4 linked regions of the Arabidopsis thaliana genome follow. The protein of the gene in region 3 purifies or fractionates together with the protein of the main gene of each other region. This does not show direct contact. Each region holds a gene or a part of one and is shown on either strand. Other genes may lie near its edges. The genes, in order: AT3G18790, FIB1, AT2G35390 and AT5G27120.

Region 1 (7,290 bases), on a different chromosome or scaffold from region 3:
GAATCCTTTGAGGCTAAGGTACGTTCTTATAATTTTTAAACTCATAATGTTTTCAGATTCGTTGGTATTATTTTTTCTCTAACTGGACTGGCTCAAATCTACAGGTTGCAGACTTCGGGTTAGCGAAGCTATCTCAAGACAATGTTACGCATGTCTCCACTCGTATCATGGGAACTTTCGGGTACTAAAGACTGCGAAACCAGCTGATGAAAAATGTTCCTGCAAATTTCATTAGCTCTTACTTCTATATCAAAAACATTCTTGTTTTATAATCTCATCCGAAAATCTGTTTCTCTAAAGAATCTCAAATTGTGAATCAAACGACAGGTACTTGGCTCCAGAGTATGCGTCAAGCGGGAAACTGACAGACCGATCAGATGTTTTCTCCTTTGGAGTGATGCTTCTTGAGCTAGTTACCGGACGCAGACCTGTTGATCTCACTGGTGAAATGGAAGACAGTTTGGTCGATTGGGTCCGTAATCATATGGTTAAATATATTCATCACATTAATGGTTCCTCTGTTAGAATCTTGTGATCTAATGCAAACTTGGTTACTTTTTTTACACAGGCAAGACCCATATGCTTAAACGCAGCTCAGGATGGAGATTACAGTGAACTAGTTGATCCACGTCTCGAAAACCAATACGAGCCTCATGAGATGGCACAAATGGTTGCTTGTGCCGCTGCAGCCGTCAGGCACTCAGCTAGACGCAGGCCTAAGATGAGCCAGGCAAGTTTTACTTTTGAACATGACCACTCTTTTAAACATATACTTTACACCAAGAGAATGATCACTATGGTCCAATGTTAAAACAGATTGTTCGGGCTCTGGAGGGAGATGCAACGCTAGACGATCTAAGCGAAGGAGGGAAAGCGGGACAAAGCTCATTCCTCGGGAGGGGTTCAAGCTCGGACTATGACTCAAGCACTTACAGTGCGGATATGAAGAAGTTCAGGAAAGTGGCATTGGATAGTCATGAGTACGGTGCAAGCAGCGAGTACGGGAACACGAGCGAATACGGGCTTGACCCGTCTTCCTCGAGCAGCGAGGAGATTCGTAGAGGAGGAGCTAACAACAACAAAACCACTCCTAGCCGAGACCATTGATTTAGCTTGTTAGTTTCAAAACAATCTTCCTTGCTGTGTTTTTGTGTTTTGTTTCCCCTATGAATTTTTTTTTTCAACTCTTTTATTCTTTTTGTCACCGTTGGATTTGTGTTTGTGTCTGTGAAAAAAAATTCAAAACTTTTGATTGTGATTAATTGATTTATTAATGCTAATTGTCTGTCTTAATCCCATCTCTCAATCAAGTAATTGACTAGGGCTTCAGTAACCAGATTGAATCAAATGTCAAAGATTCTAACTTTGTTTTATTTCAATCTTCTTGATCATTCTAAAGCTGAGGACTAATGAATAATAAGAAACAGATGGGTTTTGCAAAATTTACGAAAATGCCACTCTAGAGATCTCAGAAACAGAGGATAACGACAGAGAAAGAGATCATGAAAGTGTAAAGAAGGATCAAGAACCCAAAATAGAGAGCCCAATTTCTCTTAAACTTGCCAAAGTAGCTATCAGGTGGTTCTTGATACGGAACTTCCAGATCCCAAGCAGCAGCAGAGGCCTCATCACCGTCGCCTCCACCGAGGAAATCTCCGGCAGCGATTCTTGACTTGATGAAACGGAGCTTGTGAGTGGCGAGACCGAGAGTGAGCTTATGGCAGCGACGCTGGTACTTGAAGCCGTTGATGCAACGGAGAGTTTGAGCGACGGAGACGTAGAAGAAGAGGTGAGAGAAGGATAGGAGGCAGATGGGTGCCCAGCAATGGCGGCAGTGAAGACGACCTGAGGGTTGAGAGAGGGAGAAGAAGATTACGGCGAGGAAGATGAAGAAGAGCTGAAATAGCTTGTGGAGCTTCTTCTTCTGGTGGTCAATGGCTCGTTTCTTCTCTAAGGTTTTCTCGAAGTGGAGCTGGATTATTGAGTTTAGTGCTTGTAGAGCAGTTTCTTTGGGGATGAAAGGTTGGTTATTCTGGTCAATTTCGTCGTCGTAGTCCGCCATTGAAGGACTGAGAAGAGAGAAAAAGTGTTATTGGTTAGAGAGATGGTTTGGGGATTGTGTGTAGGAACATGTGGGTGTGGTTCGTATCTCTAGACAAGTATTATCCATCTCAACGGTCTTGTTCTGATTTTTGATGTTTTGTCCGTACTCAATAAATATTTTACTGGGAGTAAAATCAAAACCAGAAAAATGCTTGTGGTTGGTCTCAACTTATGTCTCTGCATAGCACCAATCTAGTTAGAGCCAAAGGAACAATGTATAAACCTCAGGCAATGAGCATTACATTCAGAAGTATAAAGATACAAAAGTCGAGCTACATAATAGAATACACTAGTTCAGTTCCAAGTGACATTGTATCTTCTCCTTGAGTCTTTCACATTTGTTTCCATGAAATCATATTTCAAACGCCCAACATCGTTTCTTCTTTAGGCAAGAGACCATCGCGGCTGAGTTTGTTGGTAAAACAGAGCATCTGAGAAGCATAGAGATGATGTATCAGCCTCTCAGATTCAATTCAAGAGAAGATATAATACGAATTCCTTCGCATCCTAATGCATGCCACTAAGGCACTAACTAAAGTATGTCCCATTGAAATAACAGTTTCTGCAAATCTAAGCTCCACATACAAGGGTACTAGGTCAATTACTCAGGTCAGTGAAACTCTTGATTAATGAAGCAAGAATGTACGTTGTTGTTATAGATTGATCGCGCTTTATGACATTACTCGACAGAAGCCTTATCATACTCTCAAACAGACCAGGACTACTAAGGAAATATAAATCAAGATCTAGCAAATTCTCTAAGATCATAATCTAGGATGTAATAATATAAGAAACATCAACAAATTTTTAGAATTCCTCTAATCGAAATTTCTTAAAACACACAGCAGTTCAGTCAATTTTCTGATCAAAAACTGCAAAAGAAACTACAGACAATAAAATTATACTATGATATGATTAAAAAGCCTTACAAGAAGAGATGATCACCTTTCTATCTATGAATATTGAGCATGGATTTAGCCTCAGTCTGCTGCTCAACCAAATCTTCACTAGCATACTTACTAAGCAGATCCATCTTCTTCTTCTCCAACACCATCTTCTCAATCTCCTTCTCATCAGGCAACGGAACATGAACCACAAATTCCCTCTCTTTCTCCTCCTCTTTCTCCCTCTCCATCCTCTCCTCCTCAACAACATCCTCCTCCTCCTCAAACAACACTTCCCTCGCCGCAGCAGCTGCAGCTCCAACACTCACAACCTCACTAGCACCTTTCCTAGCTTCCTTCCTAACCTCATCTAATCTCCGCCACTCCTCCACCGATCTTTTCCTCATCCCTCCTTCAGATTTCCTCTCCAACTTCTCCAAAATACCATCTTCATCATCTCTATACCCATAATAGCTAGCATCAATCCTTTTATATATATCATACCTAGTTTTACGCTTCCTCAGCTCAGGAGGCTTCTCAAAAAGCTCTCTAACACCAGGAAGTTTCTTAGCAGCTCCGAAGTAACGATAACCAGGACCACGACCACTAGGGTTAGGTACATCGATTATGTTACCTTCTAGATCCGTCATCTTCGCCGAATGTTTCGAGTAATTGTGACCACCTAGCTCAACGATTCGCCGCTCCCAATGATATCTCTCCCTGAGAAGCTTGTTAATCTCATCGTTTAGATCTCGAAGTCTGTGCTCTCCTAATCCTTCGTTCTGAATCTCAGCTACTTTGCTACCGATCTCTCTCAAAATTTGCTGTCTCCATTTGTCTGCTTCAGCTAGATCTCTACATTCTGATGCGAGGTAAGGTCGACGCTCTTTTGGCTTCTTCTTCTCAGATTCTTTCTGGGTGATGAATCTGTTGAGCATCGACTGTGCTTTCTCTTCATTACGAGCCATCTTGGGTCTTCGGAGGTTACGATTACACTAGCAAATCTCAAAGGAAAGCAGAATCTAACAGAAGAAGAGATCGAGATACTTCTCTAGCTTTTTTTTCTTACTTAAACCCTAATTTGCAGGATAACGAGAAGGAGAGACGCGGAAGAGAGAAACTGAGAAAGGATTGGGGTTAAATTGGTAATTAGATAATTGTTTCGCCGGAAAAAGAAAAATAAAAATTGTTTCAAGTTCTACGTCCTTTTCCAAAGCTAAGGCCCAATTTATTAGCCCATATATGCTATATAAGCATCAACTAGATAGGACAATATTTTAGGGCCCAAGGAAGACTCGTTTCGAGTATTGATTAATTCTTCAACGAGTTGACTTTTTGGAATCAAGATGTATAAACCAAATGTGCAGGACAATTTGAAATTAATTTGTTATATTTTGCATCATGTAAAAGGATTAATAAGCGAAAAGAGTAACGAATAGATACACCTCGTAATTGTTTTGGTGTAAAACTTGAAACAGTAGAATTGACGATTGGGGTTATATAAAATGGTGCGATCTTAAAATATCTGACTTTGTGCTAGTTTAAGTTCATTTGTGAATGGAAGACATGTAACGCTTTAACTATTCAGAATATCAGTTCCAAGTGAAGATGGAGGTAGCAAAAGTAAGACTAATAACCAAATCAATAAAAATCTTATACAATACTTATATTAACATTGCAAAGAGTTTCAAGGTTTTTCTTCTGAGTTTTGAAAGAAATTATAGGGAACAAAAGGAATAAAGAGGCATCAATTCGATCACTCAGAGCTACAAAACAATGGGACTAAAACGCAAAACGAAAGCGGTTTTTTTTTTTGAAACGCAGACGTAAGTAAAAACCCAGAGAGTTTGTCACACACAAGTGCATCATAGAAACGAAAACAAAAAGGGAAATGAAACAAACAAATGGAGAAGCAAATATAAAAGAAAAAAAGAAACTTTGATCCCATTCATAAAACCCCAGCTTTTTAAGCCTTTGATCTTGAGAGCTTAGAAACATTTTCTGTGAACGATTCCTGGACCTGCCTCATCATACTCGGCCTTGGAGATCCACATCTGTAACCAACATATACATAAATAATCAGCCTTTGATTTCAATTTGCATGTAAGAGAATTCGAAACAAAATCTGATCAATTTTTACCTGCTGGAATGTGCTGAGGGAAGCAAGAATGGAACCACCGATCCAGACACTGTACTTCCTTTCAGGTGGTGCAACGACCTTAATCTTCATGCTGCTTGGTGCAAGTGCTGTGATTTCTTTGCTCATACGGTCAGCGATACCTGAGAACATAGTGGTTCCACCACTGAGCACAATGTTACCGTACAGATCCTTCCTGATATCCACATCACACTTCATGATTGAGTTATAGGTTGTCTCGTGGATTCCAGCAGCTTCCATTCCCACAAACGAGGGCTGGAACAAGACTTCTGGGCATCTGAATCTCTCAGCACCAATCGTGATGACTTGCCCATCGGGTAATTCATAGTTCTTCTCGATGGAAGAGCTGGTCTTTGAGGTTTCCATCTCCTGCTCGTAGTCAACAGCAACAAAGGAGAGCTTCTCCTTGATGTCTCTTACAATTTCCCGCTCTGCTGTTGTGGTGAACATGTAACCTCTCTCTGTAAGGATCTTCATGAGGTAATCAGTAAGGTCACGTCCAGCAAGGTCAAGACGGAGGATGGCATGAGGAAGAGAGAAACCCTCGTAGATTGGCACAGTGTGAGACACACCATCACCAGAATCCAGCACAATACCTGTTCAATGGAAGATAATCAGAGCTCAGTTCAAATAATGATCAATGAGTATAAACAAAAAGCCTAAAATGTACTAACCGGTTGTACGACCACTGGCGTACAAGGAGAGAACAGCTTGGATGGCGACATACATAGCGGGAGAGTTAAAGGTCTCAAACATGATTTGAGTCATCTTCTCTCTGTTGGCCTTTGGGTTAAGAGGAGCCTCGGTAAGAAGAACAGGGTGCTCTTCAGGAGCAATACGAAGCTCATTGTAGAAAGTGTGATGCCAGATCTTTTCCATATCATCCCAGTTGCTAACAACACCATGCTCAATAGGATACTTCAAGGTAAGAATACCTCTCTTGGATTGTGCTTCATCACCAACATATGCATCCTTCTGGTTCATCCCAACCATGACACCATGATGTCTTGGCCTACCAACAACACTGGGAAAAACAGCCCTGGGAGCATCATCTCCTGCAAATCCAGCCTTCACCATACCGGTACCATTGTCACACACGATTGGTTGAATATCATCAGCCTCAGCCATTTTTTATGAGCTGCAAACACACAAAAAGAGTTCAATACAGTCAAATAAACCCTGATTGAATCAGAAATAGCTTTCTGTTCAACGTACGACACTACAAATCCTAAAGTTTCGAAGAATCTATACACAAACTTCATCTAACCTTAAACAGTGTTCAGATTCAATCTAACATTGACAGTGTTCAGATTCAATCTAACTTCAACAGTTCAGATTTCAATTCACATATACAAATCATTTCCCAGGTAACATGAACATGGATCTCTCCATCAAGGTCAAGCCAAATTCTGGTAGCTATAATCGAGCTAACTGATCGGTCAACTTAGATCGATTCTAGTAAAACCAAAAGATTTAGTGGAGGTTCACAGATCCAAATTAAACGAATTCCAGATCTCAAGGAAATTGAGAAAACAAGATCGAGATCCAGCAAATAAAGTAGATCCAGAAAGTTCCTATTACCTTGGAAAGAAAGAGCGGAAGAAGATGAGATTGAGGAAGATTCAAAACGGAGAATGAATCTCCTGGATTATCTCTTACTTTCTCTCTTAGTCTTCTTCCTTGTTCTTCTCTGTCAAGTCGCCGGAGATTCAAAACGGCTGATGAAAGTGAGGAGGACAACGAGACAATTCAAAGCGGAGAGGAAAATATATGAATTTATATAGGCGGGTTTATCTCTTACAACTTTATTTTCGGCCTTTCAAAAAAATAATTAAAATCGACAGACACGAATCATTTCGACCACAGGTAAAGATAACGTGACCTGGCTGTCAGACAGCCTTTTCCCTCGTGTTAACTAATTTTTAAACTAATTAATCATCTCAGCCCTTGGATTAGTTCTTTTGCTTTGATGGCTTCATGACTGTGACCTGCTCGATCCGCGTGTTACATGACAGCTCCGTTTTTTTAGTGGTTAACTTAAACCGAGTCAATCCAGGCAACGTTAGTCGTCGTCGTGGTTGGCTTGTTCAATTAGATTTCATACAATTCAACGTAATTTAATTCGTTTTCTATTAGAATTGTATC
Region 2 (8,058 bases), on a different chromosome or scaffold from region 3:
AAAGAGAAGGTTGATGTTAATCGATGTTTGCAGCTTTCGTGTTTGGTTTTTTTATTTTTTAGTTTTTATCGAGCCCCTGCTAGGGTTTAAGAATGTTTATCTATTGGAATTTGGAGTTGGTATAGGAAAGCTGGAAAGGTTCCATTTATTTTTCCGATAAATATGGAAAAGTTTTTATTTATTACATTTAACAAATTCTGTTAAACAGTTTACTTCTTGTAGGAAGATTTCAGATCCTATCGAACTCTTTTTATCGAATCACCACCATCAGATTTCTTGTTATGCAAGGAATACATGATTTTGAAATACAAAAGGTCAGAATATTAGGAGCTTAAGGCCCAATAATTAATTCAGGTAATGGGCTTATTAGACATGAATTGTTTTCGTAAACTTAGTGCCATAAGGACTAGATTGTAAAATTTTGCATCTTATTGTTATAACTTTATATTGCAGATCAAGTAATCAGAGATGCCTTCTGACTTTAAAGTCCAAAACAATCATTAGTTTAAACAAAACAAGAAGAGGAAAAAAAATCACACGAAGTTGGACAAAAAACTCATAAAATTGATTTTTTTTTCATTAGTTAATAAACAATTAAGGCCTTGAATGATTGTAAATTCTAAAATGGTGTCTAGTTTGCATAAATAGATTTTTTTTTTTTGCTTTTCATTAATTAATAAAAAATTAAAAATTTAGATTTCTTAGCTTTTCAGGAAACTTTTTTATGCAAACTAGAAACCATTTTAGAATCTACTACCATTCAAGGCCTAAAACTAAAACCAAAAACTACTTAGAATCTACAAATAATCAAAGAAGGCCTAAAACTAAATGACTTTCTGATATATATATTTCACAGATTTGACATTTTGATCCTCATCAGAAATGGATCCGCTGTCTTCACTGATGAAAAACGAAGAGCCAAAAAACTGGGCGGATCTTCCGACGGATTTGATGTGTTTGATTCTGCTACGTCTTAGCGTGACTGAGATACTGGAGAACGCTCAGAAAGTGTGTAGATCGTGACGATATGTTTGTAAAGACCCATCCATATGGCGTAAAATCGACATGCGAATCTTGAGTTACAACAAACCAGTACTGGTGAACAATCCTGAGGCGATATGTCGTAACGCCGTTGATCGTAGCGAGGGTGGCTTGCTGGAGATCAACATTGGGGACTTCGGGAGTGATTCTCTCCTTACATACATCGCGGAGAGGTTCTCCTCTAATTCTAGTTTTGACTTTTGATTACTTTTCATGTAAGTCTTCAAGTGTCTGTTAAAAACAGATATCTCAAGATTATGATTTATAACTTTTTACACACCATTACTTGTAGGTCAAGTAATCTTAGAAGCCTTAGACTAATGTGCTCAGAAATAACAGACGATGGATTTGTTCAAGCAGTTGTGAAACTTCCAATGCTTGAAGAGCTTGAGGTTTCAGGAATATCATTGTCAGGAGAGTCTATGAAACTTGCAGGGCTGTCTTGTCCAAATCTGAAGACATTGATGCTAAACCGCCTCTTTTACTTAAGTTCGGATGATGATGATCATGATGCCATAGCAATTGCAGAAAGCATGCCTAAACTACGCCATCTCCAGCTTTGTGGGAACAAACTAACCAAAACAGGCTTAAACGCCATTCTTGACGGTTGTCCTCACCTGGAACACCTCGATTTACGCCAATGTATCAACCTTGTCGGGAATCTAGAGAAGCGTTGTTTTGAGAAAATTAAAGATTTGAGACGCCACAATGATTCTACCTCTGCTGATTACCCGTTTTCTTTTGAAACTTACTATTTTCATTGGTCACGCCAATTGGCAATACTTAAAAATGCGCTACCGATGGAAGAAGGCGCCTATAACTTTGATCCAATAGTGGAAGAAGCCGAATATTACTTGAAACTGTATTGAGACTTATGTCAATAACACTTAGTCGGTTTGTTTGTGTTTAAAATTTTATTAACCAAAAAAAAATGAGTTCCTTTCAGAGCTAAGTGATACTTTTACGCCTTTTCTTGAGCATAATCATGTTCAAAACAAACTACTTCAACAATCAATTCAGCATGCAGAAACAAGTAGGATTAAAATGGACAGTAGTTCTTATAGCCAAGCAAAAACAAGCATAGAAAAGACTGATGGAGATACAATCATTGGACGAAAATGTTGCATCAATATATATTAGTTCTAAAACGAGGATAAAATTTTCCAAATGAGACATAAAAGCATTATCCATCTCTAGCTTAATACAACAAGCAAGGAGATAAAAACAAAACCCAGTAAATAAGTCTTAATACACAGGCACTACTGTCCACAGTTCCTCTATGAGGCTGGGGTCTTTTGTTTCTTCGGCATGCGGTAACCACCAACAACACAGGCATGGTCACGCTCAAACGGCTCGAGAGTCACCTGTTCTGCTGGCTTAAACTGCTCTTGTTGCAGCTTCTTCACCTCGCTCTGGAAGACTGCTTCTGCTGCAACTGTAGAGTCGATACAGTTGGCCTGAACAGATGAGACATGTTTATTTAGCGACGGAAATACAAATTGAATAATAACAGAGGAGAACATTGTTGAATTTGATTAAGGATAAGAGCACTGACCTTGATTGAGATAACAAAGTGTCCACCAGTTTTGAGGAAAAATGAGGCATTCAGGGCCAAGATTCTTGCCTTCAAGAGTTAGGCAAATAGATGGATTCAATTAAATAAAACATAAACAGAGAACCAAAATGAGAATAAAGAGAGACATTAACATAAACATAGAAACATTTATGGAATCATTGCAGATTTCTTGGAGCAATCTCTGCTAGCTCAGCAATATTGCTACAACAATTGAGTCTCCAAGTTTAGTAATAAAGTAAAACTTCTAAATGACTTGAAAATGCAATTGTTGAAAACCAGAAGAAACCGAAAAGACTTCTTCCAAATCGATAAGATATACCAAATGAAGACAAATAAAAACTTTGAGATTAAAACAGATTTGCATGTTCAAAGTAAAAAATTTTAGTAAAAAGATACAAAGTAGCATCAGAAGCTTGGAGTTTGCAACACCCATAAATGTTCTGAAGGGGAATCCAAGTAAAATCATCATCTGCCGATTTCATTGTACTGATTTTTTTAAAAGCAAAAGATGCAATGCAATAAAAAAAAACTTTGAAGATATAACTGTAAAATAAAAAGGCTTCAAACATTTCATAGTAAATGAAATGTCATCATATGCCGATTTCAATGAACTGATATTTTAAAAGCAAAAGATGCAATGCAATATGACGTAACCTTTGTGAATAAAACTGTAGAAAGGGTAACTTCAAACTTTCATAGTAAGAAATATAGAACCAAACCTGATCTGGCTGAGCAACATCAGAGAATATGACATCAACCATGCCCACGAGCATTCTGTACTTAGCCGGATGTCTAGCATCTTCAATGATTGGAATAACGTTAGTTCTCTTCTTGGCCATGTTCACCAAATCTCTACCACTTCTATGAGAAAACTCAACAGCATAAACACATCCCTCCTACAAATCATAAAGCAATAGAACAAAGATAAGTCTCAAACATAGGATAGAAATGGACCTACGGATAACTAAAATAATAATTTAGTGAAAGACTTACAGGGCCAACGAGGTCAGAAACATGAGAGACAGTGGTCCCAGAAGCAGCACCCAAGTAAAGAACTTTGGCACCAGGTTTCTACAAAAGTTTTAACAAAGAACCAATTCAAGCACATGTCTTTCAATACAAAAAAAGAAAACAGAGTCAATGTGGTATGTGTATAGATGGACTTACGATCCAAATGTTGTCGACACCACCAAGAATTGCAGCAGCTAACTTAGATCTAAACGGATTCCAAACTCTGTATTCAACCTTAGTTCCATCTTCATTCTGCAAAAGTGAAGTAGCTATAATATAAGAACAAAAACAAACTCAATTTAATTATAAAGAAAACAATCCTCAAACTTCATACCTGAACAGAGATTCTCTTCTCATTGTAAACAGCTTCACCAGGAACCAAATTCTTAGTGACAAGAGCATCTTCTTTACCCTTAGCAATAAACACTCCCGCATGTCTGTGAGGCTCAACAATCACTTTGCTTCCTCCTTTCATTCCTCCACGAGGTGGTCCTCCACGACCACGAGGCGCACCACGTCCTCTGCCGCGAGGCCCACTACGGCCTCTGTCACCACTACGGCCTCCTCCAAAGCTTCTTCCACCTCCAAAACCTCTTCCACCACCATCTCTTCCACCTCTGAATCCTCCACCACCACGTCCTCCTGATTATAACAATACCAACATACAGAAAATTAACTAAACGGAAGAACAGAGTGTTATTAAAAATCTCTACTTTTATCTTTGAACTTTATTGAAACAGTGAAGATACAAAAGGCTCATGAATTAAAACCCTAACTACCAATTCAAACTACAGAAACCGTAATGATACGAATTCAGATTTGATACGGACAGGGTTATACTCTAGAGGCAGACAGAACAAGAAAGACATAAACTTTAACTAAGGTTCTTACCTGTAACTGGGGGTCTCATATTTGCTTGTCTAAAAGTGAAGAACGAAAGACGAGAACCGAAAAAAAACGAGGGCAAAGGAGAGAGATGTGCGGTGGTGGCTGATTTTAGAGTCTCTGTGAGTTGGTTTATATATTAAGATTTTAGGGCTTTTAGGGTTTATGCTTTGGTAACATTTCTTGTATTTTATAAATAGGCCCTTCTATTATATATATCTTAACTACATTAGTCTACTACATTGGTAACGATGGGTCCAAACTCCAAAGTATGGAGTTGGGTTTGATCCGGATTGGGTCAAGATAATAATGGGCCGATTTTATTGGCCCAAAGTGGGTTTGTTTATGTCTCACGGAAAAGATAAGTTAGGGTTTTATTTTTGTGAGACAAGAAGAGTTAGTTATTCACTTATTCTCAATTTCTCATAGAGAAATTACGAATATATCTAAGGTTCTCGATCATCTAAAGTTTTTAGGGTTCGACTTGCTCCTCCTCGTCTCTGCTTACCTATATTTGAAATCTTTATCACAAACTCAGCTAGCTATTACATCACTAATGGCCGAACGTTGTCAAAGAATTGATGAAGAGGTTGTTGCTTCTAGAGACGAGATCAGTTCGTTGCCCGACGATTTGCTTATCCAGATTTTGTTGCTTGTACCGATCAAAGATGCAGTTGGGACAATGATATTGTCAAAACGATGGCGTTATGTCTGGACGTTGTTGCCTAAACTCGAGTACAGTGATCCTGGTGATGAATGCGAAAGCGTGTGGAAGTTTCTTGAAAAGTTATTGGAACTTCACAAGGCACCTTTTCTAGAAACTTTGTGCATCCAACTCGGTAAAAATTTTCTATTGAGGTAGATGTTGGGAAATTAGTTGCAAATGCAGTTGATCGCTTTGTGCGCAAGCTAGAGTTAGAGCTCCACTGGACGGCAGAGCCTACCAGCTTGCCTAAGAGTCTTTACACATGCAAAACACTTGTGGAATTGACTCTTTCGGACAAGATTATAGTGGATGTTCCTTCTTCGGTTTGCCTCCCGTCACTCAACATATTACGCCTTTTTTATGTGGTGTTCAAAGATGAAAATTCTCTAGAGAGGCTTATATCAAGTTGCTCAGTTCTTGCCCGATCGAAAGTGGGCCTCGCCATCAGTGATAACCGGGACTACCGTTTCGCGAAGGTGCATAAGCTTCGCCTTGAAAAGCCACATATCGACGTTGTATGTCATACTGATGACAAGTTTCTCAAAGCTATTTCCTTGGTCACGTATCTTGTGTTACCTTTGGAAGATCCAATGGTATCTATCCTTTTTATTATTATTGTTTTTTTTCTTCTTGGCTGTTAGGTTTGATCACATTGATTTATATTGGCTTTTGATTTAGTCATTGAAGGCTCTGGATTTTCGTGGCTTTACCTTCACTCGACTTGGAAAATTAGTGATATGTCCACATGGCCATCTCTGGTTGGATATAATTCCACTAATTCTCAACAACTCTCCTAAACTAAGATTTCTTGCTATCACTTCTGTAAGTAACAAGTAACAACGCAATCTCCTTGTTGTATAAACTGATTCTTTGATTCCACCTCATAGATTTTTATGTACTTGCATCCAGGTAAGTGGATATCGACCCGGAAATCTCCCATTGTCATGGTACCAACCAAGGTACTGTTCCCAGATGCTTGTCGGCTCATTTAGATGAGGAGTTTGTGTGGCATGGATATAGAGGAAACGAAGAAGAGACACAGCTCATAAGATACATTTTTGCTAATGCAAAGTGTTTAAAGAAAGTGACAGTCACATCTATATGGGAACATTTTCAATCTTCAATCTTGAAGAGAGAGATATCAACCTTCCATCTTGAAGAGAGAGAGGTGATAGAAACGGTCTTAAAGTCTATGCCTAGAGTTTCAACAACGTCTACGCTTGTGTTTAAATGAAGAATGTATATTCTCTTACCATTTGGTGCAAAACCACATCTATATGGGAACATATTCTAACTTCTTTGAACATATTGGACACATTGTTTCTTTGATGCATAACATTTTACCATTGCCGGGCCCATCGAGAATCTGGAAGAAAAATACAAATTTATGAGGGAATTGAATACTACATACCAACTTCGACAATTTTAGATTTTACCTTTGAAGTTATAGAACACAAACCTGAAATTTTTTTTATAAAATTGAAATGATAGTTTTTTTTTGCAATTTTAGTGTTACAAAGAAAACCGAACCGAATAAAACGAAATTTTATCAAATTCCTATATTTTTAAATTTTATTAATAATAGATTTGCCAATGTTTTCTGGATTCAACCCGCTCTTGTATGCGACTGCCAATAAATATTTTAAAAGGAATAAAATCCATTTGATTTTTCATTATTAGCCAAGTAATGATTCACTCTATTTATAAAGTTGACAAAATAAAAAAGTACTAATCCCTACACACCACAAATCACACATCAATAGGGACAAAGCGAGAGAGAAGAGAGAGACCGGACCAAACACAAAGCCCTTAAAGATAGGAAGATACTTTGTCATAGCTTTGCTATTTCTCAAAAAAAAATGAGGGACGACAGAGAAAGAGGAGAGGGTGATTTGTCATGGCCTTTGATCGGAGAGAAAAGTAGTGTCAAGGAAGAAGTGAAGAAGCAGCTATGGCTTTCAGGCCCACTCATCGCCGTGAGTCTTCTTCAGTTTTGTCTACAAGTTATCTCCGTCATGTTCGTTGGCCATCTTGGCTCTCTTCCTCTCTCCGCCGCATCCATCGCCACCTCTTTCGCCTCCGTCACCGGTTTCAGCTTCCTCGTCAGTTTTTCCTCACTCTCTCTGTCTTTCTACAAATTACATATTCCCATATCAATTTATTCTTAACCATGTATCTTAATCTTTAATTTAATTTACCAAAAAAAAATCTTCCAAATTTAGGATATTAGGAATAAATGTCTGAATGTGAAACTTGATTTGGTAATTAATATCATTTTTTTTGATTTTTTTCCTATACATATATGCAAACCTTTGGATTTTTTTAATATGTAGAGTTTTTTTTTTTGTGTGCAAGTAATATATAGTGCTTTAAATCTTTAATTAGTTTATCTCTAAAAAGAGATGTATTAGTAATTATATATCATTAGAAAGAAATATATATTATTCACCTCACCTATGATGGACATATCACTTTATCAGTTATCAGGCCACCTTATTTGAATATCCAAGTTGCGTAAGCATCTTTTCTGCCACTCATGCGACAAGAAAACAAAATACATTTTTGCCATTTTATGGACAGATCGAGAAGTGAAAACGCCAAAATAACAAAATCAAAATGTTTTTCTTGTATAAACAAAAATGAATGCTTTAAGCAGTTGCTTATGGCTCTTATTTGAACTTGAAAACCACTTGTCGAACATTGAACGATGTCAACAAATCCAAATTTTAATATTCAATTGAAAGTTTTAAAAATTGGGTTGTACGTTTTTACTTGTGAAGCAAGAAACTACACTGATTCACTTTTCCATTTTCCTCATGAACAGATGGGAACAGCAAGT
Region 3 (8,036 bases):
TCGACAGCCTCATCATCAATTTCAAGCAACAAGGGCTCAACATTCAAGATCTCATCGCTCTTTCGGGTGCTCATACAATAGGTAAAGCGAGATGCGTGAGCTTCAAGCAACGCATTGTTCAACCAAACATGGAACAAACGTTCTACGTCGATGAGTTCAGAAGACACAGCACGTTCCGTCGAGTCCTAGGGTCACAATGCAAAGATTCAAGCCGAGACAACGAACTGTCTCCACTGGATATTAAGACACCAGCTTACTTCGATAACCATTATTTCATCAATCTGTTAGAAGGGAGAGGGTTGTTGATTTCGGATAACGTTCTGGTCTCAGAAGATCATGAAGGAGAGATCTTTCAGAAAGTTTGGGAATATGCAGTTAATCAAGATCTTTTCTTCATAGATTTTGTGGAATCTATGTTAAAAATGGGTAATATTAATGTTCTTACAGGTATTGAAGGTGAAATTAGGGAGAATTGTAGATTTGTCAATATCTGAAATCAAACATCAATCAATACAAATTGTTTGCACTTCTTTTGGTCTTCCAATAAGGCATCAACTTCACAAAACTCATTACAACTTCGATAAGTTCCATTATTTTCTCCATTATAACAATGTCCAATTAAGTATGATACAGGTCTGTTTGTTGGAATTGTTTCTGCTTAAGGCAAGTGAATTGTCAAAATAATCTCAGCTTGTCATCTAAGCTGACAATTGATAACTCCAATTATTGAAGGACTCTGTTTTGTTCCGAAGTAAAATATCCAAATATTTCAAGGCATCAGTAGAAAACCTTTGAGAATTGTTTTTGCATTTAAAGTGAATAGAACTGTGAACAAGTCAAATTAATTAGTCAAGTGATTTCCATTATGCACAACTAGTAAAAAAACAAAAAAAAACATTCGGTATATTTTCTGGGCATCAGATAATCATAAAAGTTAGCATCACATAGAATCAGACGCAAATTACCCATGAAATATAATTTCATCATATGCCCAGTAGAAAACAAAGAGAATCAAAAACCAAATCCTTAAAATCGACAAGACATTCGAATTGTACAAAAACATAAAAGAGACTATGAATCTGAGTATCAGTTCTCCAAGGTGAATAAAACATCAATGTAATTTCAGTAGTAAATAACATCAATATATGAGATTCATCCTATACTCAGATTCAAAAGAAAACGATTTTTTTAAGGATACAAAAACGAAATATTAAAATTGAAAACAAGATTTTAAGGATTTTTATTGTAGAGTCGATCAGAACCTGTCGAGAACACAATTACATCACATATATCAGTGGATTGACAGACCTGTGAATTTCTATCGTCACCTCGACTCATAAAAGTCCTTAAAAGAGTTTTTACAAAAATCCAAAAAAAACATGAATTGAGGAAGAGATTAAGATCTAGAAAAGCTCAGAACTTCTTAGAGGGTTGTGTATTACCGTCAGCGATGGATTAACCATCTCTGGCACACGATTTTTTCCTCACAGCTCTTCTATTTAAATAAATTTCTATGCACAAATCGAAAAACAGAGCCAAACAAAATCACAGATGACAAAACCCTAAGAACTAATTGAGGCGGAACACAAAACAATAGACTTGTCTTGTGATTCCAATGTGAGTCTTCTATATATACTAGTTGACACTAGTCAAATAGAAGCCCTAATTATGACTCAACCTATTCTTTTGGGCTTTTTTTATTTTTTTGGTTGGCCGTGGACTGTACAATCCAATACATAGATTTGTCTGATTATGAAACCCATTATCAAATTGTCAACAAGATTTTTGAGCCAATTTGCACCATGTTAAATGTAGATACGATACAAGATGTTCTATATATTAAGTTAAAAACTTGTGTACACCATAATAAAAAATCGGTTCAACACCATTTGTGCATCCATAATTTTGAGATGTGGAGCAAATAAGAAAAACCTAAGCTGTATCAAAAGACAATGCAAGCAAATTTTGTTGAAGCTTTCCGGTTAGAACATGAACCGGGATAAACTTTCTAAACCGACTAACAAACCAAGAATCGTTCAAATTGTTGGTTGCAATGAGAAAGGTCAAAGGAAAATGCTACTGACGGAACTATCATCATGCACACGCCAAATGGTCTCACCCAGGAGATTAGCCACTGATAATATTGTTAACTGCGGGAAGTAATTCTTCTCTGCTACAGGTAATGTGTTTGTCACTATCACTTCTTGCAGCAAACCCCCTGATAATCGCTCTATCGCTGGCGGGCTTCCATATTGATTTGTTTGAAACAAAGAAAACAAATAATGCTTCAGGAAGTAGTGATTTTGAGACTGTTCAGGAACAAACAAAATATAGGTTAGTGGTTTACCTGAAAACAGCGTGTGTGCAGCACGCATATACCTCCCGAGCACCTTCCTGGTGTAACAAAGCTGCTCCTTTTACAATGGTTCCTGAAACAAGAATGGTTCATAGATGATTCAGCCTGGAAAAGGAGAAGTTGATGGGGAATAGAGAGAGATAGGAAACTTGGTTTGTCGGTAAAATGACAACTCCATGCCGTTTTACTAACCAGCAGTATCAATCATATCATCCACCATTATTGCCACCTTCCCTCTTACATCACCAATTAGGTTCATGACCTGAAAGGAAAGTATAACAAATGTGAACTTAAGGGGAAGCAAGCGGTGTTGGTGAGCAAACTCTGACTCTGAAAGAAAGGGATACCTCAGCAACATTGTGTCCAGAACGCCTTTTATCGACAATGGCAAGTGGTGCATCTGATAATTTCTTTGCAAAAGCGCGGGCCCTGGCTACTCCACCAACATCAGGAGAAACCACTACCAAATCCTCTGAGGGAATTGACTTGCTAGCAAGATAATCAAGTATCACCGGCTGAAACAATTAAGCAGATAAAGGTATTATACACAAAGGAGCATACACACAATGCATAAAGAGGGGTATCAAGAACGTGGCTTTAGAGGTGAACCTGGCAGTACACATGGTCGACTGGAATGTCAAAATAACCCATCGACTGTCCTGAATGAAGATCACAAGCAAGAACTCGATCTGCACCAGCTTCAGTGATAAGATTTGCAACCAATTTGGCAGCAATGGATTCACGCCCTTGTGTCTGCAAGCAGCAAAACATACAATTTTATCCAGAAAAGATTACCAATAGCTAAGTTATCAACAAACCCTCCATATCATGTGAAAGTAGCTAAACCACACAAAGAGACTTTACCTTCCTGTCAGCTCTTGCATATCCAAAATACGGAATCACAGCTGTAACTTTCTTAGCTGATGCTCTTCGGCAAGCATCTACCATAATCAAAAGCTCCATGAGATTCTCATTAGTGGGAGTGCAAGTAGGCTGCACCAAATAGACGTCACATCCCCTAACGCTCTCTTGTAGCTGAACATAGATCTCTCCATCAGCAAACCTCTTAATATTAACCTTGCCAAGATCCAAGCCCATATACCAAGCAATTTCCTGAGCAAGTGCTGGATTTGCAGTACCAGAGAACAACTTCAACCTTGTATTGGTTCTATTGACTGATTTCTCCATACGAGCAGATTCCAAGAACTTTGGAAGTGTCCTCTCATTAATAATTGGGATACTTGGATTCCCGTTTCCCACATTCAATGACTCCGGCATATCACATTTCTAGCAACAACAACAACAAGACTCAATCAGAGATTCATATAATCATATAGGTCTCAATTTCTGTTCCTGGATAGTTTCAAACAAATGTATTCTGAAGAAAGAGACAACCTTTATGTAGCTATATTCGCATAAACAAACAATATTCAAACGAAAGAGACGAGCTTTTCAGCTCATGCGCCAATAAAAATCTCAGAACTACAAACTTGACAAGATGGCTATTAGGGTCCACTCAATCTAGGAACCTCAAATCCGGAAACGTAATAAGAAAGGAAGGATCAACATTCAAAAATGCAGAATAAGCAATTCTATAGATTCATGAACACCGCTTACAACACAAGCGAAGACAGAGTTTCGGGAGCGAAACTGAGAGGTTCTGACGGATAGAGAAGAGTTAGAGAAGAAAGTTGAAGACGAAGAGGCTAGATACGTCGGCGTTTTTGCGGCGGGAGGAAAGGATAGACCCAGAGACGCCATTGTCAGCAATACCTCACGTAAACCCACCTCTGACTCACTCAAGCAGTCTCTTCCACAACGAATTCGGAAAAATTATGGTTTAGGATTTTGAAGGTGACAGAGTGATACGGAAGAAGGAATGGCTTAATGGTTTTCTTCTCTCCTTCTTCTTCGTCTCCGAGTTTGTGTTGGACTCTTCTTTCTCGAATTTGGATTTTTTTTTTTTTCGTTTTGTGAAAAATAAATAGGAAATGGTTTGGTTGGTGTGTACAAGACTACAAGTTGTTACTAAACGACATCGTTTGATGGATTGGAGACGTCTGGCTGGACTTTTCTTAGGATTAATTAACTTTTTGGGATTGATTGAAATCTTGGTCTCTTCATTTTGTATTTCACCAAATGTCTCAAAACTCAAAAAAAATTTACTAACTTATTTATTTAGAATATTGAAATTTAAACTTTTGTATTTACATTGTTATAGAATATACACCAATCAAATTCAGTTTTAGTCAAATTCGAGTTTTGACTTCAAAGAGAAAAATCATGAGATTCATCACTTTTTTGTTCTTCCATTTGACTGCAATGTGGAGGGATTGGAATTTATTGGTATACCAAAAAAAATACATGATATACGGTTAAGTTCCTCGTGCCATTTACCTTCAAAAACCGAAGTTGGTAGACCCGGTTCACAATTCATTTTTTTCCGAATAACCAAACCGGCCCAAAAAGTTTTATCCTTTTGTCTCGGTCTAATCCATTTCTCTAGTGCCAAAGCTAACAATGGCGGTTTTGGAAGCTTCTCTCTCCATTTTCTCCTTCTCTTCTTCTTCTTCCTCTTCAAAACCTTATCTCTTTTCTAAACGCTCTTCTTCCTTAAAACTTACTGCCCTTAGTCTTCGAATTCCCAGCAATCTCTCTCCCGTCTTCTCTCTACGTTCCGGCAGCGATAACTCACGGCGGCTCGTCTCCGTACTCTGTTCCGTCGCGGAGAAAGAAACATCGGCGGATGAAGAAACGTCGCAGGAGGAGAAGACTGAAGAAACCCAGAATTCAAATCTGAAAAGGAAGCTTTTTGTATTCAATCTTCCTTGGTCTATGAGTGTAAATGACATTTCCGAGCTCTTTGGACAATGTGGGACTGTGAACAATGTCGAGGTCTTTCTTCTTTCTCAATTTCGTTTCAATCTTTATGTTATTACTAGCAATTGCCTTACCTCAATTTATAAACTTTTCCTAGATTATAAGGCAAAAAGATGGAAAGAACCGAGGATTTGCTTTTGTAACTATGGCTTCTGGAGAAGAAGCTCAAGCAGCTATTGATAAGTTCGATACTTTTGTAAGCTCAAATCCCTTAGATTCTTTTCTGATTGAGTGTTGTTTGTTTAATTTCAAAGCCTTTTAGGTAGATAGTTCAAACTACTAAATCATACATTGTGTTGAGTTGTTAGCTAAGGTTTGATGTTTAAGCTTCTATCTTCTTTGTTTTCAGCAAGTGTCAGGGAGGATCATTAGCGTAAGCTTTGCAAGAAGGTTCAAGAAGCCTACTCCGAAATCACCGAACGATCTTCCTTCTCCTGCCCCTGGAGACACTCGTCACAAACTCTACGTATCTAATCTCGCTTGGAAAGCAAGATCAACACATCTCCGAGAGCTTTTCACTGCTGCAGATTTCAACCCGGTCTCAGCTCGGGTTGTTTTCGCTGACCCCGAAGGTAGATCTTCTGGCTATGGCTTTGTCTCATTTGCTACTAGAGAAGAAGCTGAGAATGCAATCACAAAACTCAATGGGAAGGTATGAAGTTCCAAGCATATTAATATAAAGTTTGCTCCTTTAGCCTTGAGCATGTAAAGTGTTTCATTACAATTTGGTTTTTCTATAGGAGATAATGGGTAGACCTATCACTCTAAAGTTTAGTCTGAGAAGCGCCAGTGAATCTGAAGATGGTGACAGTGTAGAAGCTAACAACGCTTCTGAAGATGGAGACACTGTAGAAGACAAAAACACTTCCGAAGAAAACATTGTGGAGTGACTCTTATTATTTTCTCTGTTATCCGATAGGAGCATGAGAATCTGACTAGAGATCTTATTACAGTTTTGAAATAACTACTGCTACAAAGAACACAATAATGAAGATGTAACAGAAATTCAGTAAACTATACTTCAATCCTGCTAATGTGTGATGAATCACCAAGCCATTGCCATCCTGCTCCTTCATACCGAGTAAGTTCGTCGAACGAGACACAGCTTCCTGTTTGGTAATGCCTTCTTTTGGACTTCACATTAGCATCCGTAGTCTTAACCATGAAATGTCCAGTAGAATGTGACCTCGAGAATCGCCAAGCCGAGGCTTCTATTAGCCTTTTGCTTGAACCAGCGGTTGGAGGATTTTCCTCATCATGGTTTATGTCCTGAATAGTAATTGTGACTGTGTTGTGGAATGATTCAAGCCTTCCAGATCCAATCATGCCAGGATCTAACTCACACCGGCAAACAGGACAAGTCTTGTGTAACTCAAACCAAAGATCAATGCAATTTGAATGAAAGGGATGACGACAAACCGTTATGAGCCTAACTGTATCTTCATCTGAAAACTCTGACAAGCAAATAGCGCATTCCGTCCCATGATTTTTCTTAGTTGCAGATGAATAGTGGAATACAGGAAAGGACCGGATGATAAACGGGTCGAGGCCAGTATTTTCAGGCGGAGTGGCCACATGGATTAGGTCACCGTAAGGTGTTCGTTGAAGGTTCCAAGTAGTAAATAATCGATTCAGAAGAAACTGCCATAAGAAAAGAGAGAAGAATCCGGCGAAAATTACAAAGAGAAGAACACCGGTCAAAACTACGGTGACAGGCATGGAAACACTAGGGAAAACAGCAGTAGCTGGTATTGAATCTATTGATGTTGTTGACGACATTTGAAGGTTGATGATTAGAGAAACCCCCAGATTCTACCAGTTTCGTAGATTGCTTGGGATATAAGAAAGGTTGTTCTTACAAATCCTTGTGAGAAAAGGAGTATTATTGTTCAAGTTAATAGAGAGAAATGAGGAGAATAAAGTGGCTATGTCTGAGAGACAGAAGTGGCTTTGCTTACCATTTTGAGCGAGTCTTTTGTGACAGTTAAAATCGTTGTCTTAATAATAAATCATTTTACTGTTAAAAATAACTCAAAACGAAAAATTAATATTGACCATGGAAATAAAGAAAAAGGTTTAGGTAGCAATGATGATCCGGTTTACAAGTACGCAACATTATTTAGTTCGGTTTGATCTTCTGCAAGATTAGATTTAGGATTGACAAAGAGAATAAACAAAAAGATGAGAGTTTTTGTCTTTGTTGAGTGAGTCACAATCTACAACCACAGAAGGGAGGAAGCTAATATGTCCACACAGTTACAAGTCTAAAAGAAGCTATACCTTGATCAACAAATCAGTGAAAATGCAGTGACTTTACTCAATATCGTCGATCCAATCACCATAAACACGACTGATTTTATCTGGTCCTTTCCATTTCCGTTGAGTTCTGACTCCGTTGGGTTTCTGCGTAACAGCACTAGATGTCCGTTGGGATGAGACTCCAGGAGAAACAAGGCTAGTCACTGTGTCTACTTGTCCTCTCTGCTTTGTGTCCAAAGTGGCGGATGTTCCGATCTTACATTCTCCTTCAACGAGTCCTCCGCCAAATGTATGCAACTCTGCAAAAGATACCATAAAGACTCAAACTTTTAGCTAGCGACGATTGAAACTTTCTGCATTTCCATAGCCATTAGGAACAAGCAGATCAAGAATTCTTTCCAATCAGAAACCAATTGACATCATCACGTAATGGCAATGTAGCAATAGGAAACATTTCAACAATCTCACTCGATCCACTTTAAGTCCATTAATAGACATTGTCACCAATCCATTCACCAAGCACGATTAACTAATTGGCACC
Region 4 (8,257 bases), on a different chromosome or scaffold from region 3:
AATCTTGAGGCAAGCAATTCAACAAGGTGGACAACAAATACTCTAGTGGGTAGAGTCATCATCCGGAGAAGTTCCACAGATATTTCATCATCCGTGGCATTGGGAGAGATCACGGTCCTATAAGGTATACGAACGTTAATCTCTTGTAACACATCTGTAAGACGAGGCATTATACCTTCGCCAAATGTGTCGTCAACATATACAGGTGCAACCTCTCTCCAACCAAAAAGTTTGATGATTTCTTTAATGGCGTGCACTTGAGATGAATCATCATACGTAGCCCGAAAGAAGTATTGACTACGGATGGAAGCGAGGGACGGACTTGTTGCAGAATACGTAACAATCGGCACCTGAGATTTTTGTCCCATCTCAATCATGAATTGAGCCTGCATCGAAGTCCATGGCCCTAGAATCGCTTTCACTTCCTTGTTCGTTATCAGATCAAGAGCTGTGACAAAGTCAACGCCAAGGAGTGTTTTGTTATGCAAAAAAAAAACCTTTGGAGGAGAAAGCATAAATGTAGATAAGAAGTGTGCATATGAACTGATGATTGATGACACACACGTATCTCAGTGCATGCAAATTTAGAGAAATGGGTATGCGTGTACCTGCTGCTGCTGCGGTAACAACATCATTTTTGGAGTCAACAACGGTGGTTACAAGCCTTGTTTGGGTTTCTGGATGAGAAGAGTAGAAATCAGAAAGAGACATGTTGATACAGAGCAAAGTCATGTTGGAGTAAGCCGTTCCGATATCATTCACGATTCCCACATTTACATTGGTTATCCTATTTTGTGCTTCTCCGACCTGCATCAGGAAGACGATTACAAAGAAGAGTAAGCTGAGAACGAGGTTGTTTTCTCTCTTCATTTTATTCTTCTTCTACTTAGCCGAAAAAGAATGAAACTTGGTGGTCTATATGTATGCTCTTTGGTGTGGCATGAGACCCTTTGGTAATTGGAGAAGTCGTGATATTGTTAATTACGAACTTGTTGAATTTATTCCAAAGTATATAATATTTAAGGCAGCAACTTGTTTTTTTTTACATATTCTAATTTAACCAACAATTAAAGTCAACCGTTGCAAAGGAGGAGACTTCGTCTCATGCATAATTAACAATAACATAAGAATCATTGACCGGATTCCATGTGACCACTCAAAAGAGCAAGACACTCATAAACGTTCTCAGCTCGTAAATGAGACCTGTCCTCAGCAAAGAAATGGCACACTTTGTCACTCATCTCAATCCAACTGCAGCCCGGTTTCTTCCTCAATCCCATTTCTTTCATTTTTAATCTGACTCGTCTTGCTGCATCCCATGACTCACCAGAAGCATACAAATTGAACAAGACCATGTAGGTTGATGCATCATCTGGATAATTCTCAACAAGCAATCTTGCGATTCTATCTCCCAATGAATGTTCCAGGTGCAAGCAACAAGCAGAGAAGAGAGTACTGAGAAGCTCTGCATTGTCACTTGTCTCTGGTGTTTGTTGAATAATTTCATAAGCTTCAAGCAACCGACCTGCTCGGCCAAGAATGTCAATCATGCACGAGTAATGTTCAATAATAGGCTCGATTCCGTACTTTGATCTCATTTGACTGAAAAATTTGAGACCCTCATCAATTAGCCCAGCATGACCACAAGCTGACAATACAGCAAGAAGAGTAACCCCATCAGGTTTTAGACCAAACTTCTGCATTTCATCAAACTGGTAAAGTGCTTCTCTGGGTTGACCATGAGATCCATACGCAGAGATCATTACCGTCCATGATACAACATCCTTCTTTGGTATACTGTTGAAAATCCTAAAAGCCTCTTTTTCATTGCCGCATTTAGAATACATGTCAAGAAGCGCACTCAAAAGCAACTCGTCTGTTTCGAGCCTGCTCTCACTAATGGACAAATGAATCTGTTTGCCTTTCTCTAACGCAGCCAGTTGCGAACAAGCAGGTAAAACACTTGTGAAAGTTACCACGTCTGGCTTCACTCCAACACTCACCATTTGGTCATACACTTCAACAGCCTTAAACCAATTACCTACACTGATATAACTAGAAATCATGACATTCCATGACTCAGCAACGTCCTTCTGTGTCTTTGAAAAGACGGTTTCAGCCAAATTTGCTTCACCACACTTGAAGTATAGATCAATCAAGGAACAGTTCACATAGATATCTGCATTTACAACGCTTCTAATCACATAACCGTGTATAAATTTTCCATGTAGGAGATTCCGTGAGCGAGAGCAAGCCATCAAAATGCTGGTCAAGGTTGTCTGACTCGGTCGAGTTCCTTCTATGATCATTCTATTCAAAATCTCAACACATGACTTACTGTCTCCTTTAGCGACATAACCTTTGATCATAGAATTCCAAGCAACCAAACTCTTTCTAGGCATTTTCTGAAAAACCTCCCTAGCCACCTCCAAGCAGTCACATTTCCCATACATATCAACAAGGGCAGAGTTTACATACTCATCTAACTCAAACCCTTTCTTCACACATTTTCTATGTATCTCCTTCCCTCTCTCCAACCACAACAGCCTTGAACACGCCGATATAGCCACCGTCAACGAAACTGAATTTGGTTCAAAGCCAGAACTTTCCATTCTTCCAAACAACTCCAAAGCCTTCTCTGCCTCTCCACTTTGATAAAAACACGAAATAACCGTGTTCCAAGATGCTACATCTCTCTCAGGCATTTCATCGAACACTTGTAGTGAATTCTCAAACAAGTTAAACTTTGCATACATACCAACCAAAGAACTCGCCACAACCACATCACAAACATACCCACTCTTCACCACAAGAGTATGAATCATCCTACCAAGAAACTCTCTACCCAACGCACCATAAGCCTTAATCACATTCGGAAAAGTAAACGAATCAGGGACACAAATTGAGCAATTCAACAACCTCTTGAAAACCTCAAGAGTGTCATGAAACATTGAGTTCTTTGAATAACCAGACATTAAAGAGTTCCATATGTAAACATCCGATCGTATATCGAAGTTCTCGAAGACGTGTCTCGCTGAGCAATGGTCTTTACAAGTAAAGTAGACATTGATGAGACTTTTGCATAAAACTACGTCTCTTCGTAACCCCAACGTGAGTATTCTCTGATGCACAAGCTTGATTCTTCTTAGAGACTTGGTGCTATTGGTACACTCTCGCAATAAAGACAACAACTTTGAAGATTCCATTTCAAGTTCACATTTTTTTTTGTCGTGAGAGATTGAAATGTGATCAGTCGCTGCTTTAGCTAAATTATAAAGGAAAGACATGATTCAAACTACGACGTCGTTTATACTAATGGGCCAAACTTAATTAGGCCCAAAATGATTTATTTTTCTAAATTAGCGATGCGTTTTAAAACCCTAGGTTACAAAAACGCGCCGTTAGCAATAAAAACGCAGCGTTTTGAGAATCTCTGAACCTTCTTCAACAACTATAAAAACCATCTTAAACCCTAGCAGAATCGCGGCTCCTGATTTTAGCTCTCTCTAAAGCTGTAGTTGTGCGTTAACCCTCTAAGGTACTGAATCTCTCTCGCCCTCTCTTTCTTCGTTGTTATGGCAAATAAGCTTCCAAAATTCTAAGACTTTGACAAAGTATAGTTCTGTTCTTTGTCGGATTTTCAAGAATTTGAACAGAGTATCTGCCTTAACTATTATTCTGATTTGTAAACTTCGAAACAGGGAAAAAGTTTTACCTTGAATATTGTTTCGTACTAGCTTAATGGCTTTAGCTCGTAAAACACTAACTTGCAAGTTTGGTGACTTTGAGTTGATTCAAGGGTTTCTCTTAATCTTGTTTTTTCTTCTTTTCAGGAGCTTGTAAAAATGCTAATACTGTTTGAGACGCCAGGTGGTTTTGCCATCTTCAAAGTATTAAACGAAGGAAAGCTCTCTAATGTTGAGGTTACTAACTAAATCATTCTCCTTTGTTCATTTATCTTAACCTTGTTTCTGTGTGTGGTTTGGTTTTTTAATTCTAAGTATGTCAAATTTGTGATTGTAGGATTTGGGTAATGAGTTCTCGACCGCAAAGTTAGCCCGAAAGGTGATTTATTTTGTTCTAGACATAGTTCAAATTTTGTATCTGGCTAATAATATTTGTTTCTCATAGCAATTTTTGGTGTGTTGTTACAGATGGTGAAGCTAGTAGCTTTTGACAAGTTTGACAACACAGCTGAAGCTCTTGAAGCAGTGGCTAAATTGCTTGAGGGAACTCCAAGCAAGGGTCTACGCAAGTTTTTGAAAGCTAACTGTGTTGGTGAAACATTAGCTGTTGCTGATTCTAAGCTTGGAAATATCATCAAGGAGAAACTGGTGTGTATTTTGTTCCGATACGCTCTTTTATTTCTGAGTAAGGGTTGTTTCTTACGGTTTTGCTTCACTCGTGTAGAAAATAGTCTGTGTTCACAACAATGCTGTTATGGAGCTGTTAAGAGGTATCAGAAGCCAGCTAACTGAACTTATATCTGGATTGGGTGATCAAGATCTAGGTCCAATGAGCTTGGGGTTGTCTCACAGCCTTGCCAGATATAAACTAAAGTTCAGTTCCGACAAGGTAGTCATTTGATTTGTATTGGTTTTTGGTTCTCTGAATTATTTGTTGAGTTAGCCAACTTTTGATAAATTATGGAACTTTTGGTATCCCTTTTTTTACTCTTCCAACATTAGGTCTGAATTGCAATTGAGTTTGTCTATATATCCTGTGTTTGTTTGACCCTTATGTTACTTCACCTTGTACTTGTATGTTAGGTGGATACCATGATAATCCAAGCTATTGGTCTGCTTGATGATCTTGACAAAGAGCTTAACACTTACGCTATGAGGGTTCGTGAATGGTTTGGTTGGCATTTTCCTGAGCTTGCTAAGATCGTACAGGACAATATCTTATATGCCAAGGCTGTTAAACTAATGGGGAATCGGATTAATGCTGCAAAGCTAGACTTCTCTGAGGTAAAGGCCTGTTTGAGTATTTGACTTCCTTGTGCTTAACACTAGTTTTTTTTTTTTTGAAACATTGTTTCTGTGTCCTCCTCTCAGATATTGGCTGATGAAATTGAAGCAGAACTGAAAGAGGCTGCTGTGATATCTATGGGAACTGAAGTCAGTGACCTTGATTTATTGCACATCCGAGAACTCTGTGACCAGGTTCTTTCTCTTGCCGAGTACAGAGCTCAGCTTTATGACTACTTGAAGAGCAGAATGAACACAATTGCACCAAATCTAACTGCCCTTGTCGGGGAGCTAGTCGGTGCTCGCTTAATATCTCACGGTGGTAGTTTGTTGAACCTCGCAAAGCAACCTGGAAGCACGGTTCAGATTCTTGGAGCTGAAAAAGCCTTATTTAGAGCCCTTAAGACCAAACACGCTACTCCAAAGTATGGTTTAATTTTCCATGCATCTGTTGTTGGCCAAGCTGCACCGAAGAACAAGGGTAAAATTTCACGGTCACTAGCTGCAAAATCTGTTCTTGCTATCCGTTGTGATGCTCTTGGTGACTCCCAAGACAACACTATGGGAGTTGAAAACCGTTTAAAGGTATCCTTCAATTTTTTTTTTTCCGATCTTCCTCTCGATCTGATCTAAAAATACTCTACCTTGATTGATGTTTACCATGCGGGCTATTTTCTTCTGACAGCTTGAAGCACGGTTGAGAACTCTCGAAGGAAAAGATTTAGGACGTCTATCTGGCTCAGCTAAAGGCAAACCAAAGATTGAAGTATATGACAAAGATAAAAAGAAAGGATCCGGAGGTCTGATCACTCCTGCTAAGGTCAGATTATTCCTCTGCTAGTTTGTTTCTTCAACTTTCTTTTGTAATTATGAATTCTGGATTTGTGCAATTGTGTTTTGGATATATTACCTGTAATGTTGCTTAAAGGATTAAGCTGTTTGTTGTTGTTGTTGTTGTTGTATTCTGCAGACATACAACACTGCTGCAGACTCTCTTCTTCAAACTCCCACAGTGGATTCAGAGAACGGTGTGAAAGAGAAGAAAGACAAAAAGAAGAAGAAGAAGGCTGATGATGAGGAAGAAGCCAAAACTGAGGAGCCCTCAAAGAAGAAATCGAATAAGAAGAAGACAGAAGCAGAACCTGAAACCGCCGAAGAGCCTGCAAAGAAGGAGAAGAAGAAGAAGAGAAAACACGAGGAAGAGGAAACTGAAATGCCTGCTAAGAAGAAGGAAAAGAGTGAGAAGAAGAAGAAGAAGAAAACTGAGGTCTGAAGAGACCTTTAATATTTTTGCGTGGTCTAGTTTACTTTGTTATCAGAAACAAAGAAAATCTTTTGTGGCGTTAGGTGTTAAGTAAGGTTTTTGTTTTGTTTGAAACTTAAAAAAAAGAACTACTCTTCGTTTTGTAAGGTTATAATATGTTTGGTTTAGTCCTTATCCCAGAAACTTGCATTTTGCCAAACGAGTCAAGACCTTACCGTTAAATCCTTCTAATCTTAGTATAACGTAATTACTCATAGTTGATTAGTTCATAAATTTGTAAAGATCAGTCCGAAGAGTCGACATTTTTCATCAAGTGTATCATTGACATTTTAAAAAACCTTGTACAAAATGAATATTTGTGAGTCTAAAAAGTACCTTAATAGTCAATTGGAAATGGATTGGGTTGAGCATAAGGCAAATCATACCAGACCTTAGAAATTTCAAAAGATAAATAAAATCTAGAGTCTACCTACTTTGTGTGTGTATATATTTTTATTGTGCTATAAATTTTGTGATGAATATGAATCAAAATTCTTTCTGAATATTTCGTGATAATGGTTCCGTCAATATCAAAATTTACTACTGAACATATATGTTTTAAAATATTTAACTGGATTTTAATTCATAAAGTTTTTTTTATTTTTAATTAAATTTAGTTGCCGTGGAAAAAGTTTAATCTATAGTGTTTTATGTAATCATTGTAGGTAATGTTCAAAAAATCTGCCTAGACACCTATCGAACTGGATTTTAATTTATAAAGTCTTTTTATTTGTAAGTAAACTAGTAGGCAGCCCGTGCCTTGCACGCAAAACAACAATACCAATAATATATTTCGTGTCTTTGAAATTTGCAACAATTACACAAATGACGAATATCACAACCTCACAAAATACAATGTGTATCACACATTGCTCTATAACTCTCAATAAAAGTCCTATTCAACTTTACTCAAATTGTAAAATAATATATGTGTTAAAATTAAGAAAACTTTTATTGGAAACAGCAAATAATCTTACATAAATACACTAACTTATCTCATAGATATATAGAAAAAAATATATATATATATACAGAGCCGTTTTTTCTTCTCAAAAAACTTAACAATAATAATGATGGAGAAATGAATTACCTTCTAACCAAAACGCTTTTCTAAACTTGAACATATAAGATGGTTTCACATTTAAATTATTTTGCACACTACACCGTGGAAGAAGATGTCATGTCATGCCACCCATCTCTCAATTTGGTTATCTTCTTCTTCTTCTTCTTCTTTTTCTGAATTGAAAGCCCCAAAACATTTGCATCCATTTTGTTTCTATATGATTCTCGCAAACTCATGTGGTCATTTTGTAGCAGCGGGTGTGCATGGAAAATGTAAGAAGATAAGACCAAGTAAAACGCAACAAAACGGCCAAAGGTTTATTGATATTCATACCAGCGATTGGGTGGACCAAACTCAGTGAGTCGTGAGGGGTTAACAGCGTCCATCACATTAGGTATCACAAAAGTCTCAACTTTCATTATTTACGTCATTCTTTCGTTTCTCTGGTAGACGTATTTAGATGAAAGAATGGAGGATCTAAGATTATGAGAAAGGAAAGAAGAAGAAGAATTTAAACCTGTTTTTATCTTCTTGAGAATGGCTTATACGGTTGCTCTTGAGATCGTAAATTAACTGGCAGAGGGTTTGAAAGATGGGAGAGAAAGTAAAGAATCTTAATAACGTGGAAGAAGTAGTTGCTGAAAAAGTGGTTAAAAAAATTTAAATTTATCTTTTGTCAAAAAAGAATATTCTATTGAATAGTAAAAGGAAGTGAATTGGTTTACGATTGTGGAAGTGCAAAATTTTAGACTTAAAGCATACGTGTCAAAATGAGAAGCTTACAGTTTTTTTAAAAGTGACTGTTGATTTAGTATTATTAGATTTAGTTGCCGCGAAAAAGTTTAATATATAGTGTTTTATGTACTTATTATAGGTAATGTTCAAAAAAATAGCCTAGACATCTATCGAACGTCTAGCTAC

The links.
Region 1: the proteins of AT2G35390 (region 3) and AT3G18790 fractionate together in Arabidopsis thaliana (co-fractionation; one large-scale study listed by BioGRID). This does not show direct contact.
Region 2: the proteins of AT2G35390 (region 3) and FIB1 fractionate together in Arabidopsis thaliana (co-fractionation; one large-scale study listed by BioGRID). This does not show direct contact.
Region 4: the proteins of AT2G35390 (region 3) and AT5G27120 fractionate together in Arabidopsis thaliana (co-fractionation; one large-scale study listed by BioGRID). This does not show direct contact.

The regions. Positions count from the first base shown.
Region 1 is NC_003074.8:6,474,518-6,481,807, reverse strand, and holds AT3G18790 (pre-mRNA-splicing factor ISY1-like protein), read right to left. Parts: upstream 4,148-7,290; 5' UTR 3,956-4,147; coding exon 3,053-3,955; 3' UTR 3,049-3,052; intron 2,535-3,048; 3' UTR 2,226-2,534; downstream 1-2,225. Other genes in the region: PERK6 (Protein kinase superfamily protein), read left to right, coding at 1-18, 105-181, 328-472, 569-730, 817-1,107; AT3G18800 (uncharacterized protein), read right to left, coding at 1,469-2,062; ACT2 (actin 2), read right to left, coding at 4,976-5,041, 5,128-5,741, 5,820-6,273.
Region 2 is NC_003076.8:21,290,770-21,298,827, reverse strand, and holds FIB1 (fibrillarin 1), read right to left. Parts: upstream 4,682-8,058; 5' UTR 4,539-4,681; coding exon 4,520-4,538; intron 4,271-4,519; coding exon 3,963-4,270; intron 3,881-3,962; coding exon 3,785-3,880; intron 3,689-3,784; coding exon 3,611-3,688; intron 3,514-3,610; coding exon 3,337-3,513; intron 3,093-3,336; exon of another isoform or gene 3,019-3,092; intron 2,666-3,018; coding exon 2,597-2,665; intron 2,499-2,596; coding exon 2,319-2,498; 3' UTR 2,009-2,318; downstream 1-2,008. Other genes in the region: AT5G52480 (RNI-like superfamily protein), read left to right, coding at 1,066-1,214, 1,334-1,910; EDA41 (FBD, F-box and Leucine Rich Repeat domains containing protein), read left to right, coding at 5,070-5,279, 5,372-5,812, 5,907-6,045, 6,134-6,453; AT5G52450 (MATE efflux family protein), read left to right, coding at 7,079-7,321, 8,044-8,058. UniProt on the Arabidopsis thaliana protein: S-adenosyl-L-methionine-dependent methyltransferase that has the ability to methylate both RNAs and proteins. Involved in pre-rRNA processing.
Region 3 is NC_003071.7:14,893,465-14,901,500, forward strand, and holds AT2G35390 (Phosphoribosyltransferase family protein), read right to left. Parts: upstream 4,419-8,036; 5' UTR 4,118-4,418; coding exon 3,974-4,117; exon of another isoform or gene 3,644-3,973; coding exon 3,221-3,643; intron 3,110-3,220; coding exon 2,966-3,109; intron 2,872-2,965; coding exon 2,704-2,871; intron 2,619-2,703; coding exon 2,549-2,618; intron 2,430-2,548; coding exon 2,348-2,429; coding exon of another isoform or gene 2,344-2,347; exon of another isoform or gene 2,245-2,343; coding exon 2,064-2,244; 3' UTR 1,790-2,063; downstream 1-1,789. Other genes in the region: AT2G35380 (Peroxidase superfamily protein), read left to right, coding at 1-494; AT2G35410 (RNA-binding (RRM/RBD/RNP motifs) family protein), read left to right, coding at 4,877-5,251, 5,334-5,432, 5,586-5,888, 5,977-6,126; AT2G35420 (RING/U-box superfamily protein), read right to left, coding at 6,251-7,015; AT2G35430 (Zinc finger C-x8-C-x5-C-x3-H type family protein), read right to left, coding at 7,550-7,794.
Region 4 is NC_003076.8:9,537,442-9,545,698, forward strand, and holds AT5G27120 (NOP56-like pre RNA processing ribonucleoprotein), read left to right. Parts: upstream 1-3,419; 5' UTR 3,420-3,538; intron 3,539-3,833; 5' UTR 3,834-3,845; coding exon 3,846-3,923; intron 3,924-4,023; coding exon 4,024-4,065; intron 4,066-4,154; coding exon 4,155-4,334; intron 4,335-4,410; coding exon 4,411-4,575; intron 4,576-4,769; coding exon 4,770-4,970; intron 4,971-5,057; coding exon 5,058-5,555; intron 5,556-5,655; coding exon 5,656-5,790; intron 5,791-5,940; coding exon 5,941-6,243; 3' UTR 6,244-6,624; downstream 6,625-8,257. Other genes in the region: GLR2.1 (glutamate receptor 2.1), read right to left, coding at 1-448, 609-870; AT5G27110 (Tetratricopeptide repeat (TPR)-like superfamily protein), read right to left, coding at 1,131-3,206. UniProt on the Arabidopsis thaliana protein: Required for 60S ribosomal subunit biogenesis.